Linked DNA regions of Oryctolagus cuniculus. The main gene of each other region encodes a partner of the protein of the gene in region 2 in a complex. Links are inferred from orthologs where the notes say so. Each region holds a gene or a part of one and is shown on either strand. Other genes may lie near its edges.

The links. Proteins that work in one complex are often made in the same cells at the same time.
Region 1: EIF3J (region 2) and EIF3E share a complex: the UniProt entries of both Homo sapiens proteins name them as parts of the eukaryotic translation initiation factor 3 (eIF-3) complex. The link is inferred for Oryctolagus cuniculus from reciprocal best matches to the Homo sapiens genes EIF3J and EIF3E.

The regions. Positions count from the first base shown.
Region 1 is NC_091437.1:133,451,613-133,455,264, forward strand, and holds part of EIF3E (eukaryotic translation initiation factor 3 subunit E), read right to left. Parts: intron 1,979-3,652; coding exon 1,936-1,978; intron 919-1,935; coding exon 814-918; intron 1-813. UniProt on the Homo sapiens protein: Component of the eukaryotic translation initiation factor 3 (eIF-3) complex, which is required for several steps in the initiation of protein synthesis.
Region 2 is NC_091443.1:67,483,290-67,486,941, reverse strand, and holds part of EIF3J (eukaryotic translation initiation factor 3 subunit J), read right to left. Parts: intron 1,804-3,652; coding exon 1,749-1,803; intron 925-1,748; coding exon 833-924; intron 1-832. UniProt on the Homo sapiens protein: Component of the eukaryotic translation initiation factor 3 (eIF-3) complex, which is required for several steps in the initiation of protein synthesis.

The DNA of each region.
Region 1 (3,652 bases), on a different chromosome or scaffold from region 2:
GCAGGATTTTTCCAATCCAACTTCTAGGATTAACTAGAGAAATCAGAGACTGAGCTATTTGCTAACAATTTGCTACCTTTGAATAAGTAACAAATTATAGTTTCTCAAATGAGAGGTTAGTAATAAGAAAGGCATTTTGATTACTCTAGAACACACATTAAGATAATTACCTAAACAGAAGACAGAATAAGAAAGAAGTCTGTCAATTTAAAGGTCTGATTTTTAATCTGGCTTCAAACCACTCTTTCCCTAACAAAAGCACTGGATCTAGGAATTTATCAAATAGACAAATGAAGATAATAATCAGGGCACTTTAGAGAGAACAGTACCATTCAAACTTATCTACACCCCACATAGTGAAATCAAATAACTGATTTTTACATTCTAATGGCTAAAGAAAGAAGTAAATAGAAATGGTTACTATTAAGGTATAAAATACTTCAAACACCAATAGGATTCCATACTTGTTTAGACCAAGTTCAAGGAATATATACTTCGAATTAAAATTAAGATCAACTTATTCAATAATATTAACTCATTAAGTTTCAAGTTTTCAATTTGACAAATATTTCAGTTATCATCAGTGGCATATTTATTGTTCAATTTCAGTTTTTATGGGTAGTCTCAAATTTTGAGGTTCCAACCTAAGAATTTATTTTTATTGGGTTTTTGCGTTATTGGAAAAAATTTCTTTATTTTTCTGATCAGCAACTGCTGAAAACTTAATTGATAGACCCAAATCTATACACATGTTTTAAGGAACCCAGGGTACCCTACAAAACAGAAAGCAAAGAAACAAATTGAAGTACTTACCAATACTCTAAAAAAGTAAAGATATTCTGCTGCTCCAGAATAATTCCCACATTCATACTGGAATTTTGCATACCTATAGAGTGTATCTAAATATTCTTGCCTAAACTAAAAAAAAAAAAAGTATGTTAATTTCTAGTTTTACAATTCCATTCATTTATTGCTTTAAACATCCTGAAGAAATAAACTATTTTAAAGTTTTCTAAAAGCTGCTCACTTGATCTTAGAGTATACAATTAGGAATTGGTCGATTTAATGCTCAGTTTTGACCTCAAAAACTATGAATTGTAATGATACCTACTCTATTGTAATACAGCTTTGAATTACAGCTGAAGGTCTGGTGTGTATGCTCCTTAGTTTGTGACTGAGATTAGCCAACTATCAAGCATATGCATCCTATTTCTGTATAAATAACAACAAATCTCTGTTCTTGTGAAAATGGGTCCCAAAATCACACTGACTTTTATAATTAATAATGCAAGCAAAGTGAAAGTGAGGAAATCTAATAGGACTCCAAACTAGAACATAAACAAATCCACTCTAACCAGAAAGAGTAATTTGCACAAGGGTTAGCAAACTTGTTATGAAACTGTTAAATGACAAGATAAAATTTGAATCTAACAAAGAATTAATTATTTGCAGAACTTCCCACTTTGAGTTAATACAAGAGAAAGAGAATTGAGAGATCGCTAGGAAAGCCTGTAACATTTATTTGTGAATTTGGGAATTTATGAAGTCCTTTAAAATGTCAAAACTTAACTCTGTTGCTCAAAGTCAATTCTAATTCAAATTTAGCTCTGCTTCTGTTTCTTTCTTATCGCATAAGAAAAGGTAGACTGTGCCCTAAAATATTTAGCTTGCTGTTGGCACTAACATATAATGGTGTTAATAATTCCAGAATAACCAAATCAAAAACTTTGAGAATTTTCTGTTACCTAAAGTTGAGCACAACTATATATTTTCCTGTCAGCACCAATTTAAAACTAAAGTTTCAAAAACATACCAGATGTATTTAAAAATTTCATAATTATTCTGTCAAGCCATGAAGCTATCTGCTAAAAATCTAGATTATAATCAGCCTTATTAAAACATGACAACTGGAAAGTATTTTTAAAAAACACTTACTCCATGCTTGTCTGCCAGGTAATCAAACAGCATTCGACCATCCCTTAATAAAAGCAAAAATTACTATATTTCATATACCACAAGAAAGTCATTATTTGTCCAAAGTCACTTTAAATATCTTATTATATAAACACTGTAAATAAGGCTTCTGGAATATTTAATATATAAAATGTGCATTAATATTTATAGATTTAATACAAAGAGAATACCTCAATTTTGAATGTAAGGAACATAAGAGATCTACAAATCTTACAACATATTTTCCGATTCCTTTAGCTCTAATTAAAAATCATTTGTTCAGTTTTATCATGTCTAAGGGTTTTAGATGCCTTTTAGGTTATAAAACCAGAACATTCTAACTTTTCTATTTTTATAGTAAATTCAGCAGTCTACTTAATAGTAACCTACTGAGAATGGTATTTGTTTTCTGAGGTTAGATTTCTGATAAGAAACCCTAATACATACACTGTACAAAGTAGCAGGAATTAATTCTACATACAAATTTTATCTCCCTCACTCAGCCTTTTGGTCCAGGCAGGGATTAAGCAGCTACCTCCAAGTCCAGCATTTCATAACGTAACTCGGGCAGAGTCCCGGCTTCTCTGCCTCTGATCCAGCTCCTTGCTAGCTATGGCCTGGGAAAGCAGTGAAGAGGGCCCAAATGCTTGGCTCCCTGTCATCAACATGGGAGACCCAGACCCAGATGGAGTTTCCAGCACCTAGCATCACCCTCACTAGCCCTGGTCCTTGCAGCCATTTGGGGTATGAATCATGGGAGGGAAGACTCTCTCTCTATATATAACTTTGCCTTTCACACAAATAAAATCTTACAATTCCTCAAGTGTATATATTGGCAGGTATGAATTGTCACAACAGTAATATTCATTTTTAGTAGATTTTTAAGCATTTCCAATAATGCAAAAGGCTTCAGTAGTAATATTACTAAGTTGACTAAGGCAATACACTTCCTTTGGGAACCAAACAATAAATCTATTTCTAGCTAAAGAAAAGTTAGAAATAAAATGTTATCAATTCCACACTACTTTCCTTGGGCTGGGGATCAGATGCTGGAAGTTAATGAGAATGTAGCAGGTAATAACTGAACTGAGGTTTCTCTTACAGAGAGCAACCCATGTGCTTTTGGTATTACACACAGGGTTTCTTCATCAGTATACTGGGCTGGATAATTCTCCTCTGGTGAATGGGAGGGGAATACTGTCCCACCACCATGGAGTATGTAACAGTATCCCTAATCTTTATTTGCTAGGTGACAGTAACATCCCTCCAGTTGTCACAACCAATAATGTCTGCAGGCAATGTCAAATGTCCCCTGTGAAGGATATATTCAGGTATAGAAAACTGATAAAGAAATTTAAAATTTAGTATTAACATTTATTAAGCAATATAGGCCCCTACAAAATAAGGATTAAAATGAACAAATAGATAAAGCAATCATCTCAACAATAAACTTTTACTACAGGATTCTAAAGTCTGAATTAACATCTGTACTAATCCAGAAATTAGAATTCTTATTAACTTTGTTGTTTTTTTTTTAATTTTGAGACTCAGAAAGAGAGTTCCTCTCATCTGTGAATTCATTCCCCAAACATCTGATGTGGCCACAGCTGGACTTGGCTGAAGCTGGGGAGCCAAGAACTCAACCCAGGTGTCCCACGTGGGTGCCAGGCTCTCAAGTATTTGAGCCGTCATTGTCATT
Region 2 (3,652 bases):
AGCACCTGGCTCCTGGCTCCTGCCATCGGATCAGCGCGGTGCGCCGGCCGCGGCGGCCATTGGAGGGTGAACCAACGGCAAAGGAAGACCTTTCTCTCTGTCTCTCTCTCACTGTCCACTCTGCCTGTTAAAAAAAAAAAAAAAAAAAAAATGTGCCTGGGAAGGCAGCAGAAAATGGCCCAAATGCTTGGGTCCTTGCCACCCTTGTGGGAGACCAGGATAGGGTTCCTGGCTTTAGTCTGGCTATCATTGCCATTTGGGGAGTGAACCAGGGGATGGGCGGTCTCTCTCTCTCATCGCTCCCTCTCACTCTGCCTTTCAAATAAATAATCTTAAAACTATCTACTTATAGGGTGGACAGAGAGATACAGGTTCTATAAATAAAAGGTTGTGAGTGCTTTTTAATAGTGTTTTTATTTTTGAGCCACATAAATGTGTTTTCTATTCAAAAAGAAAAATATTCCTGATCCTGCTTCAAATAACCAAGAACAGCACAGAAACAGATACTTTTTGTATCTCACTCAGTATGTACACTGCACACAATGACTACAAAGAACTGCAGACATGGGCAAAAATCATTGACTGTGGTCACTGTGCAGTCACGACTATTCCTGAATGTCTGTAAAACTTAAATGGCATCTAATACATGACAGTTCTGCATTCTGCTTTTGCAGTAACCACACAGCAGTCTGTTTTGGGATTCACCTATCTTAAGGCATTCACTTACAGTCTGTACAGAGTCCTTCAAATTGACAGGTAGTACTCACAGGCTGTAAGACACGACAAAAACTGCCATGAGAATTCTGTATCTTAGGAAAAAAACAGCACTTACCCTCTTCTTAATTTCTTCTTGCCTTTTCTTTTGTTGCCGTTCTTTCTCTTTAATCTTTTCTGCTATTTTTTTCTTCTCTGAAATTTTTATTTCTGAAAGAAATGTTTTATTCACAGTTACACTGAATATTTACCAGTCTATGGATGAGATAGACATGATATTTGTATATTTCAAGAGACTAAACCTTTCTCGGCTTCCGGTTCATATGCTGATTTCCTGGCAGACAAGAATGGAAAAGTTCTGGAGCTTCTCCTTCTCCTCCTTAATGTGATCACTAAAATCCAAACATCTCCCTTTTTTTTTTTTTTTTTTTTTGACAGGCAGAGTGCACAGTGAGAGAGAGACAGAGAGAGAGAGAAAGGTCTTCCTTTGCCGTTGGTTCACCCTCCAATGGCCGCCGCACTGCGCTGATCTGAAGGCAGGAGCCAGGTACTTATCCTGGTCTCCCATGGGGTGCAGGGCCCAAGCACTTGGGCCATCCTCCACTGCACTCCCTGGCCACAGCAGAGAGCTGGCCTGGAAGAGGGGCAACCGGGACAGAATCCGGTGCCCCGACTGGGACTAGAACCCGGTGTGCCAGCGCCGCAAGGCGGAGGATTAGCCTACTGAGCCATGACGCCGGCCTATATCTCCCTTCTTATTTCCTGATCACTCCCTAGAATGGACTTAAGCTTCTTGAACTAAAATGCCAGACACTCCACTCTCCTAATAATAGTCACACAAAGGAAAAAAACAGCAGATATCACAACTGTTCATAGTTTGAGGGAATACAGAAAGATGCAAGGAAAAGAGAATTAAGGTGGGACTGAAAGAATACTTCCTGTCTAAATGCCAAAATTTTCAATTTTGTCATTTAACTTAAGCACCAAATGCCTACCAAGACAAAACCAAAAATGGAGGAGCTCCAGTAGCTCACCTGGTTTTACTTCTGCTTCCTCTTTCTTTTCGTCGTCATCATCATCCCAGTTATCCTAAAGAAAAGGACCCCCATTAATAATTCTCGCATGTTCGTGTTTCCGTCAATTTATTATCAACTTGTCTAACTCCATAGAAACAGCTTGTTGCCATTTTTGAGGTAATGCATTAAATTTGTAAATTAACAGAGATAACTGACATAACACTGAGCTGTCAAGTCTAGTTTTGTTGTTTTTCATGAGTGTTTCAAAGTTTCCCTCTTAGAGGTTTTGCACATTTCTCTTTCTAATTATTCCCACGTATTTCATCTTCTGTTTTGCTACTGCATTTCTAGCTGGTTATTATTCATGAACAATAAAGCTACTGATTTTTCTGTTAATTTTATATCCTGCTACCCTACTGAATTCATTTATCACTTAAGTTACATTTATCATAGACTTTTCTAGGTAGATAGGTTGAGTATTCCTAATCCAGAATGTTGTAAAATCTGAAATTTCTGAGTATGTTGCAAGTGGAAAATCCCACACCTGACCTCATGTGACAAATCACAGTCAAAATGCAGGTGCACTAAGAACACTGTATACATGACTTTCAAAATATATAAAGATATAATACACACATTCACTGTGTGCCAAGAAACATAAATTAATTTCATTTTTAAACTTGGGTTTCCTACCCAAAACATCTCATTTTATATACGCAAATATTCTAAAATCCAAAAAAACCCTAAAATCCAAAATATTTCTGGTCCTAAGAATTTCAGATGGGACACTCAACCTCTACTAGCAGATCATCTGTAATTAAGTCAACTGTATTTGTTCTTCACCAATCCTTCTGCCTCACAATTGACTTCTCTTATTCTCATTGCTCTGGCTCAATCTCTACAATGTGGGATACCAGTATCTTTGCCTTGTTCCTCTCTTCTTGGAAATATCTTGTGTTTCCCCATGAAATGCTATGTGTTCCACCAAACTTATGCATAACTTAGCAATTTTTTCTTTAATTGCTTCTGGATTTCCAGGCAGAAAGTCTCTTCTTCCAACGAAGAATTCATCCACATTTTCTTCTAGAATGTGTAGGCTTTCACTGTTTCTTCATTTAAATCCCTGATAATATGGAGTATTTTTCGTATGTATAGTGTGAAGCATAAAGGTAATTCTACTCTTTTCCAAATGGCTACCCAGTTGTCATAGCATCATTCATTGAAAGCTCATATTCAGGGCTGGCGCTGTTGGGGTAGCAGGCAAAGCTGCCGCCTGCGAGGATGGCATCTCATATGGTGCTGCTTGGAATCCCAGCTGCTCCACTTCCAATCCAGCTCCCTGTGCCTGAGAAAGGTACAGAAGATGGCCCAAGTGCTTGGACCCTTATACCATGTGGGACACCTGGAAGAAGCTCCTGGTTTTGGGTTGGAAGAAGCTCCTGGTTTTGGGTTGGCCCAGCCCTGGCCATTTGGGGAGTAAACCAGTGGATGGAAATTTTTTCTGTCTCTTCCTCTATGTAACTCTTTCAAATAAATTAATTTTAAAAAACCCCATCTTTGCCCCGTGATTTACATATGCTAAATTTCTTATTCCTTGGATGTACTTCTGGGCTTTCTGTTCTACCCCTCTGATCTAATGTCTCTTTGTGCACCAGTACCATCCCGTCTCAATTAGAGGCTTTACAGAATGTTTTAACGTCTGCTAGGGCCAGTTCCCTCTTGCAGCTTTTCAGGACTTTCATGTTTTCCTGACCATTCCTGCATGTCTGTTTTTCCATCTGAGCCTTTATACCAACTCATCTAATGCCAAAAAAAGTTTCTCCATTAGCAATTAAAATACAAACTAAAATTAATAGCTTTATTTGGTGATTCAGTGTTTTAAATTAAAAAACTGAGGTAACTTTATACTTCTTACTTTTCCC